Linked DNA regions of Macaca mulatta. The protein of the gene in region 1 interacts with the protein of each later gene in a pairwise test. Links are inferred from orthologs where the notes say so. Each region holds a gene or a part of one and is shown on either strand. Other genes may lie near its edges.

Evidence for each region.
Region 2: the proteins of USP54 (region 1) and ATXN1L interact in binary tests that used the Homo sapiens proteins (3 or more experiments, as listed by UniProt). The link is inferred for Macaca mulatta from reciprocal best matches to the Homo sapiens genes USP54 and ATXN1L.

The regions. Positions count from the first base shown.
Region 1 is NC_133414.1:76,013,823-76,018,561, reverse strand, and holds part of USP54 (ubiquitin carboxyl-terminal hydrolase 54), read right to left. Parts: intron 1,841-4,739; coding exon 1,709-1,840; intron 1,529-1,708; coding exon 1,148-1,528; intron 909-1,147; coding exon 677-908; intron 140-676; exon of another isoform or gene 33-139; intron 1-32.
Region 2 is NC_133425.1:68,023,139-68,027,877, forward strand, and holds part of ATXN1L (ataxin-1-like), read right to left. Parts: intron 3,638-4,739; 5' UTR 3,518-3,637; coding exon 1,448-3,517; 3' UTR 1-1,447. UniProt on the Homo sapiens protein: Chromatin-binding factor that repress Notch signaling in the absence of Notch intracellular domain by acting as a CBF1 corepressor. Binds to the HEY promoter and might assist, along with NCOR2, RBPJ-mediated repression.

The DNA of each region.
Region 1 (4,739 bases):
AGATCCCTAGACTTGTTTATCCTACATATCTGAAAAATATGGAAATCTTCACAAATTTTTGTGTCACCTTTGAGCAGGGGCCATGCTAATCTTCTCTGTATCATTCCAATTTTAGTATATGTGCTACCAAAGCAAGCACTAAACAATTATTTCATTATCCTTAGCAAATTAAGACAGGTACAGAAAACCAAATACGGCATATTGTCACTTATAAGTGGCAGCTACATGATGAGAACACATGGACACACAGAGGGGAACAACAGACACGGGCCTATCAGAGGGTGGAGGGTGGGAGGAATGAGAGGATCAGGAAAAACAATTAATGGGTACTAGCTTAATATGTGGGTAACAAAATGATCTGTACAACGAACTCCTATGACACAAGTTTATCATAACAAACCTGCACATATACACCCTGAACTTAAATTTTTTTAAATTACTTTATACATAACTGTACTTCAAAGTATTTCAAAGATAACTGTACATAGAAAGTTCTCTCCTTTCTCAAGTGCCTTTGTTCTTCCAGCAGAGGGTGCTGTTGTTATAGGAAGTTGATAGAGCACATAGTAGCAAAGGCCTTCCCTCCACTTGTCTAAACCTTGCCTGAAAGCCCCAAGTAGGTGGCTCACATTGCTGCAAGGGACAGTGTCACAACTGTTCAAAGGTCAAACAATACCTGTAGACATTTGAGCTCTCAGGCAGGGCTGCATCCAGGCTGACGGGGCTGCTGCTGTTCCTCTCACTGCTTTCATAGCCAGATTCCATTCGCTGGATTAGTCGGGGCTGCTGCTCTAAAAGGTGAGAGCCTGGCCGTGCTGGGCCCCAGTGCTTGTACTGGGGGCTTGGTCCACCAAATTTAATGTCATAAGAAGGTGGCTTGCTTGGTTCATCTGGTATAAATTCTTTAGCTATCCCAATCAAAAGACAGGTATGGAAAACGAGGTAGATTTAGCATTTGCCTAAAATCAAGACCTAACTAACTCCTCCCTCTGGCTACTTACTCACTGAACTCATATCCTTAAAACACCCAACATCAGAGTAAAAATGCCCCTTGCCAGATGTACCAAAAAACCCAGGTTTTAAAAAGACACAAATCAACTTTATTCAAAAGCCCAATTCTTCCCCCATTCTTCCCTTATCTCCTCACCTGAATCCTCAGAAAAGGGGCTAAGCTGGGTATAGCCACAGTGCTTCCTTTTGTCCTTACTAAAGATACTGTCAATATTCAGAGATTCTCGTTTTGGTCTCCATGTTGGACGATACTTGCTGGAAGAACTGGATTTTGACTCACTGCTGGTACTCTCTATTTCCCAGTCACGAGAGTGTAAAGGTAGGGTCTTAGGAGGTTTTTTGTCAGGCTGGTCTCCTCCCCTGCCCCCACAGTGGGAGCCTACATTGGTCTGAGAAGCCAGGGATGGTCTGTTATGGATCATATTGCTGACTGTCTCTTTAAAATCCCTCAGCCTGTTGGTGCTGCTGGATGGTTTGGAGGCATTTCTAGGAGCCTGCTTCTCTTTCAGTGTTTCTCCTAAAAACACAAAGAATGAAAGAAATATAGATGTTTAAAGTGATCATGAATACTAGATCCCAGTGTCGAAAAAGCAAAGAAAAGCCCTTTGAGCAGAAAGGAGAAGCTAACAGTCTGGAGCATGACAGAAGTTTGATAGAGTGAATGAAGGAGAAAGAGAAGCAGTGCAGAGGGGCTTGCCTTCACTGTGGTATCCTGAGGCCTGGGGCTCGTCGCCTTTCTTCCTAACCCGACCAGAGCTCCTCTTGCGCTCTATCAGTGACCCTTTTTTGGATGTGTGTTTCTGATTACATTCACTATCAGTCAGGTGTCCTGAAAAAACAAGGAAATTGGGGTAAGCTGGTATCTGAGACTAACCTCCATCCTCCTGAGAACCTACCTAATCTCCCTTTGGGAGTGCCACAAATTTAGAGTACCCATGGAACAGAAGCTGTAGGGCATAGGCTATCTGATTTCAGTGTAGGAACCTCCCAGTAGATAAATGCAGAGAAGGGCCTGGTACAGTGACTCACACCTATAATTCCAGCACTTTGGGAGGCTAAGGCGGGCAGATCACTTGAGGCCAGGAGCTTGAGACCAGCCTGGCCAACATGGCAAAACCCTGTCTCTACTAAAAATACAAAAATTAGTCGGGCATGGTTGCATGTGCCTGTAGTCCCAGCTACTGAGAGGCTGAGGCATTAGAATCACTTGAACCCAAGAGGTTGCAGTGAGCTGAGATCATGCCACTGCACTCCAGCCTGGACAACAGAACAAGACTCTGCTAAAAAAAAAAAAAAAAAAAAAAAAAAAAAGGATAAATGCAGAGAAGCTGGGAGCATCCAAATTTACAATGTCTTGACCAATCTCAATCCCACTGATAATCTTCCCCAGTGACCCAGAAGGTCTAACGACATGTTTCTAGGTAACTTTTTAAAGGCAAAAGTTTTAAAGATTATATAAAAATGTCAGGTAGCCATATACTTTCGCTCTCATAAATTGAAGACAGAGTTTTCCTTTTATTTATTTAGCAACACATATCAAATAAAGTCTGATTTTCAGTACATCTGGTATTATCCTGGATACTCCAGACTTTGCCCACAAGAGCTCTGATTGTATATGGCTTTAAGACCCAGTTCTAAGCTTCCCTTAATTGTAGATCATTTAAAGGACACTTCAACTTTGATTAATTCTCATTCCTATCCCCTACCCATGCTTCACGAAACTTGGCTCTATCCAGAGATTACACGTCACAGTTCCTTAATACTAATCACTGGGAAAACCAGGAGAGCTGGGCTCTTTTATGTAACTTGCCCAGCTTCATGCCCATAGTATGCAAATACATGAGCATGATTTGATGACAGCAAAGGTCAGATTCTAAAGGATATAAGCAACTAAAGTGCTGGAAGCCAGAGATGAATTAAGCAGGTAAAATAATTTTTTTTTTTTTTTTTTTTTGAGACGGAGTCTCGCTCTGTCACCCAGGCTGGAGTGCAGTGGCCGGATCTCAGCTCACTGCAAGCTCCGCCTCCCGGGTTTACGCCATTCTCCGGCCTCAGCCTCCCGAGTAGCTGGGACTACAGGCGCCCGCCACCTCGCCCGGCTAGTTTTTTGTATTTCTTAATAGAGACGGGGTTTCACCGTGTTAGCCAGGATGGTCTCGATCTCCTGACCTCGTGATCCGCCCGTCTCGGCCTCCCAAAGTGCTGGGATTACAGGCTTGAGCCACCGCGCCCGGCCAAAATAATTTTGAAGATACACTTAGGAAAAAAAAAAAAAAACCCTAGGTCAAATGCACGGAAAGCTAACAAGAATTTGTTTTCACATGACAGTATATGAAAATCCTTATACATATTCAGGTATCACCAGTGTAGTGATATGGATAAATATTTTCAATCAGTTGCCCCTTGGAATCTTGTATTGCTTTTATTTGGTCCTTTTCTACCTCTGTGCCCACAAGAAAGATTTAAGAGAGGAGGAAATGACTTGGAGCAACTAAGTCTTTTTTTTTTTTTTTTTTTTTTTTGAGATGGAGTCTAGCTCTGTCGCCCAGGCTGGAGTGCAGTGGCATGATCTTGGCTCACTGCAAGCTCTGCCTTGCGGGTTCACGCCATTCTTCTGCCTCAGCCTCCTGAGTAGCTGGGACTATAGGTGCCTGCCACCACGCCCAGCTAATTTTTTGTATTTTTTTTAGTAGAGACGGGGTTTCACCATGTTAGCCAGGATGGTCTCGATCTGACCTCGTGATCCGCCCACCTTAGCCTCCCAAAGTGCTGGGATTACAGGCGTGAGCCACTGCGCCTGGCCGCAACTAAGTCTTACAAATGTTAAACCAATGGGCATGTTCTCCATTCCTCACACCCTCCCTGCCAAAACCCCTAAACCATTAACACAAATCTGCCTCTACTGGAAAATACGCTTAGTTTATCCTGTGGCTTGGCTTCTCCCTGGTTCACAGATTCAAAAAGTGGGTCTAAAAAACTCACATCTGACACAATCAATGCAGTAGTCATCAAAAGAAAACCAACACAAGTCTGACCAAACCTCTAGGTCCAACTACCAATTTACAAGAAATATAGGACACAGAAACATGTTAAAGTATACCATAGGAATAAAATCAGCAAAATTCAGAATGTGGGAAATCTACAGGACAAAATACCTAGTTCTAGCAATAAATTGCAAGGAAAAAAATAGAGGAAAAAACATTATATTAAAAGAAACGCAAAGGATTTATCAACTCATCACAATACACAGACCTCATTTAGATGCTGAGTCAAACACATAAACCATGAAAATATTATAATACTTGTAAGTGGATATTTGAACACTCATTGGTTACCTAGCAGTTTTAAGGAATTATCATTACTATTTTTAAGTGTTATAATGCTACATTTAAAAAGTGATTTCTTATGTTTCAGCAAACATAAGAAATATTTATGGAAAATGTGATAAAATGCCTGGGATGTGCTTCAAAATAATCCAGGAGTGGGTAAAGGTACAGGTAAAACTAGATTGGCTGTGAGTTATAATTATTGAAACTAAGTGATGAGTACATGAATGGGCAGTACACTATTCTATGTAGCTTTGAATATCTTTGAAATTCTTGATATTAAAAAAAAAGCCCCCCCAGCTTATAAACCACCAATCTCAAACAATGAGCTCACGAATTCCCACAGTCCCAAAGAATATGGACACTGTTCTATGCCTTAGGTATTCTATCTCCCAGAATAAA
Region 2 (4,739 bases), on another chromosome or scaffold:
GGGGGGTGCAAATGCAACTAAGATTGAAAATACTTTTTGCAGAGGAATATACCACCACAAAATGACATCTATTCAGGTATTGAAATGTTATCAAGCCTATCCTAGAATCTTAGAGCTGGTGGTGGGAGGGGATGGATTGGAGACACCAGAATGCCGGGAGAAGCAGTGGAACAAGATGTGAGGGGCATATGGGACGTGTGAAAATGCTACGATGGGCACTGCCCAGCCATGCATTTGCCCTGGCCCAGGGCATAGTTCCCTTCTTCTTTCTCCACCAAGCTGTTTGGCAGTGGAAGTGGAGGGGACATGATTTTGAGATTTTAAAAATAGAGATTATAGCTGAAGGGGAAACCAGAGAGACCCCTACCCACCAAAAACTAGAGGTCTTGGTCAGAGTGGACAAAACCAACTTTGCAGACAAGGAAAGGCAGCGCAGCTACAAATGAGGCCCAGGTCACAACACCATGCAGAGGTCAGGGCAGCAGGAGGGTGGGGGCGGCGCAGGCACTTAGGCACAACACAGACAAAGGTGGGGGATCAGTGCCTGGGAAAAAAGGGTCTACTAATTCTTTCTAAAGTCACCATTACCAGCAAGATTCTGTGAGATTTCAAAGTGAGTCTGGCATGCTGAATTGGAGGAGCTTTGTTAGGTGAGCTACCTTTCCAGAGGCCCTGCCTAGAACCCAGTCAGCCTGGCTATCAAGTCTCTCTCCCAAAGTCCGCTGACTTAATCCCTGGCAAGGTAGTACTTCACTCTGAACCCTGAAGGGGCTCTCCCTCTGGGCCCCCGTGCTGCTAGAAGCCTTGTAGGCGGAATGGTGAGGAGAGATGGGGAAGAGCTATGAAGCAGAGGATCAAGCAGAGTCCTGTAGATCAGAGTGCTCCTCCCCTACACACTCAGCCACAGACATCTGGAACAAAATCACCCTTTAAAGTGCGCATCTCTCACAAGAAGGGTTCTGGGTGGGAACCCTCTTATTTCCAACCTTGGGGCCTCCTGCCCTTCCACCACAAAAAAGAAAAAAAACTTCTGACAGTTTAACTGCTACTATAAGCTGTGGATCATCATTTTTGGCTCTCTTTACTCCCTCCCTCTGCCATCTGCTCCCAAAGCCTGGACTTTCTCTTGCAGGAGCTAGGGATGGGGAGGAAAGAACAGGGAGGCCCTGATTTTGGAATGTTTCTTCTCCTGTGTGCACCCCCTTCCTTCCTTGCCCCAGGCCTGCTGCTCCCCATCACAACACCCTCTGGGGTTGTCCTGAAAGGACGCCATGGGGTAATGAGCAACAGATCCTGCCTTGGGAGGCTGACTTCATGCCTCCCCTTTCCCCCAAATCTCACTGCCAAGAAAGCCATTCCCTGCTCGGCGTGTGCAAATCCTCTGCCTGCTCACGGCGGCGAGGCAAGGCTCTGGGGTAAAGCCCCAGTCCTGGTCTGGGAAAGAGGTTCATTTTCCCGCATTGGAACGCCCTTCAATGGACAGCTTTACCTCCTGTGGAATGAAAGAGGGACGGAGCAGCGCAGCCCGTGCCTCCTCCCCTTGCATGCCGTATCTTTGGAAGCTCGGGGTTGGCCAGCAGGCCTGAGCACCAGGCTCAGGCTGGGAAGGCTCTACCACATGGGAGCCCTCTCCTGCCAGCTGGCTCTTCCCCTCACTGTCACATAGCTCTCTGGGTCCCAAGACGGTCCTCTCAGGCCTTGCTCGGGGGGGACCCAGCTGGCCTGGGGGAGCACAGCTGGCCTGAGAAACTGAGTTACTGTTCAAGCTCTGTAAACTGATAGAGATGCAGACATCTCCCACCTGTAGCCGATGGCAGGGCAGAGAGAAGAGTTGTGTCGTCCGCCCAGGGCTGCAAGAGGACCAACCCTGGCCATATACAAAGAAGGGGTGCTCAGGGGGCACCTCGATGCTCACTTTGCTCTGCTGCTCACCAACCACAAAATGTAGCATGACAAATCCAGGCCATTGGCTCTCCTGAATGTCCACGACCGTGCTAGAGTCAATCTTCAGCCCCCCACTCACTTCGGCACTGCGCACAAAATCCTGGGTCTGGAGGTCCTCCACCCGCTTCAGCTCTCCCGTAGCCAGCTGGATGATGGCGCCTTTCATGAAATGGGAAGGCAAGTGGGAGGAGGTAATAGGGGGCGGCGTTGGCTCTTTGTCTGGGAAGGTGGCTCTGGCCTGCACGTCCAGACTTGATGCTACCAGGATCTCCGAGCCCACAGGCAGCAGGCCTGAGTCAGCTCCAGTGGGCACCAGGTTGCCATTGGCTACAACCATTGCTTTGGGTAAAGGTCTATGTTTTACTGGTTCCTGATGGGACTGAGGGTAGAACCCACAGGCTTGATTTTTCTCTGCCAGCTCTGCAGGGTTCCTGGCTGACCCTCGCCCCTCACCCTGATGGTCGGGGGGATGATGGGATAGGTTGAGGGGGCTGGGTTCCTCTTTCCTCTGAGCTGCCACCACACGATAGTCCTGAGAAGCTAAAGCGCCAACCACTCGCTGGACCTCAAGGTCGGTGTCCGGGGTCCCCCGGTGTGCTGGTGCCGCTACCTCCACCTGTGGAGTCTGAGAACCTGAAAACAACTGTCCATCCACCACACATTCTACCACTGGCACCAGTCCCTGGCCTTCACCCTTGCTGTTGGGGGAGTCAAGGGCTTCACTTTCCCGTCTTACTAAATTTCGTTCTCGCGGTCTCTGTCCTCCATTTGCAGCAGCTGCTTCCAGAGCAGACTGGCTCTCCTGAGGGGTAAGAACTGGGCTGGCACCTGCTGGAGGGGTTTCATGCAAAGTATACCCAGCAGGTAGCCTGGACATCTGATAATAAATGGGCATCCGACCTGGAGCAAGGTCCAGCGGCTGAGTACTTGAATGATGTGGCAATTGCCCAGGTGGGGAGGTGGCAGAGGGAGCTTTGTTAAATGAGTGGGCTGGGGAGGGAGCCTGTGGGGGAGGAGTGGCTCCTTCTGCCAGAAGTGAGGCATATGGCACAAAGTGTGGAAGGTGAGAGGTGGCAAGGTTGGCAGAAGGAGACAGGAGGGGACTCGGTAGGAAATTAGGTGGCACAGCATAGGGAAGGCTATAAGGAGACCCAATGAACTGCAGTGAGGTGGATGGAAGCTGAGCATAGTGGATTGGGGGATAGTGGATGCCTGGATGTTGAATTAGTGAAGACGCTACATTAAACGTCGGGGGCAAGGGGCTCATATTCACCACAGACGGGAGGCCAGTTGGTGAGAAGGTGGCAGGTGGCACAGCCACCTTATACAGCATGCCATACTGGTCCACTGTCAGACCGGTGATGGCCTCAGCTCCATCACCCCCCAGGCTGACTCTGGTTCCTGCCTGGCTCTGCCCAGCCACCACAACCCCTCGGGACCATTCAGAAGCATCACTGGAGGGTGTGTGGTTAGCGGAGCAGCTGGTAGTTCTCCCCATATCCTCGCTGGTCACGGGGAGGTCTCGTTTCTTTGGTGGAAGGCATTCCTGACTCCTCTCATGAACAGGTTTCATATTGCTTTGTGGTGTTCCTGGAGCCTGGAAGGAGTCGGCTTGCTCCCTGGGGCATCAGAAGGGGCTTCTCTGTAGCTTCCCTGTACCCCTCTCTGCTTCTGGCTGGGGCGCCCACATCTGCTAGGGAACAAATCAGAGGCAAACAAAAGTAACCTAGGGATGAGCCAAGACAAAGGAAATAGAAAGAACTGCGCCATGAAGGAAGATGTAACAAAGGAGACTGTTAGAAAATAAGGAGGAAAGAGAAAGGGGCAGACAAGGAGGCTACCCCCAACTCATCCAGCCTGGGACATGAGAGAAACACAAGGCACAAAGAGCTATAGGGACAAGCATTCACCAATGCACAAATAACCTGTGGGCTCCACAAGCCCAGAGAGACCAACAGCTTCACAGTTAGTCATATGTCTCATGAGCCATGAGCACCTTGTCTTTTTTCTGCCTTCTTCCCAAAGGGGGCTTTGAACACATGGTCTTTCCTGCTTGCTCTTTTGGTGTGTTTTTTTTTTTTTTTTACACATGGAGTTTTGCTTTTGTTGCCCAGGCCAGAGTGCAATGGTGCAATCTCAGTTCACTGCAACCTCCGCCTCCCAGGTTCAAGGAATTCTGCCTCGGCCTCCCGAGTAGCTGGGACTACAGGCATGCACCACCATGCCCAGCTAACTTTATATTTTTAATAGAGATGGAGTTTCACATGTTGGCCAGGCTAGTCTTGAACTCTTGCCCTTGGGTGATCTGCCCGCCTCAGCCCCCCAAAGTGTTGGGATTATGGGTGTGAGCCACAGCGCCCAGCCTCCTGCTGGCTCTTTTTCTTAAGTTTCTCCTTTTGCTACCAAACATGAATGTGCCACCTTCTTTCCTGAACACATGACCTCATCCTTGCTTCCTTTCTGTAGCCTAATTTGGGTTATGATCTCACCTACTACTATCCCAAGCCTGGCTAAAAACTCTCTTCCTCCTTTGCCTCATATCATCCGTACCTCAAGGACCTAGGTGTCAAAATCTTCAGGTCTGCTTGTGTCTTTGTTTTTAAACTCTGCTCCCTAACCAGGTTATGAAAATTAACATCTTTGCCCCATGAAATAATACATTTTAACTCAGCCTCTATATAGTGAGAGTGATTAAACTAGTTTGCTGTCAACTTGTTTCTCCTCTTCACCAAAGAACAACAAAATTCTTCTGACCTTACGTACACTTCCGGTTCCCTAGTCTCAAAAGGCTTCTT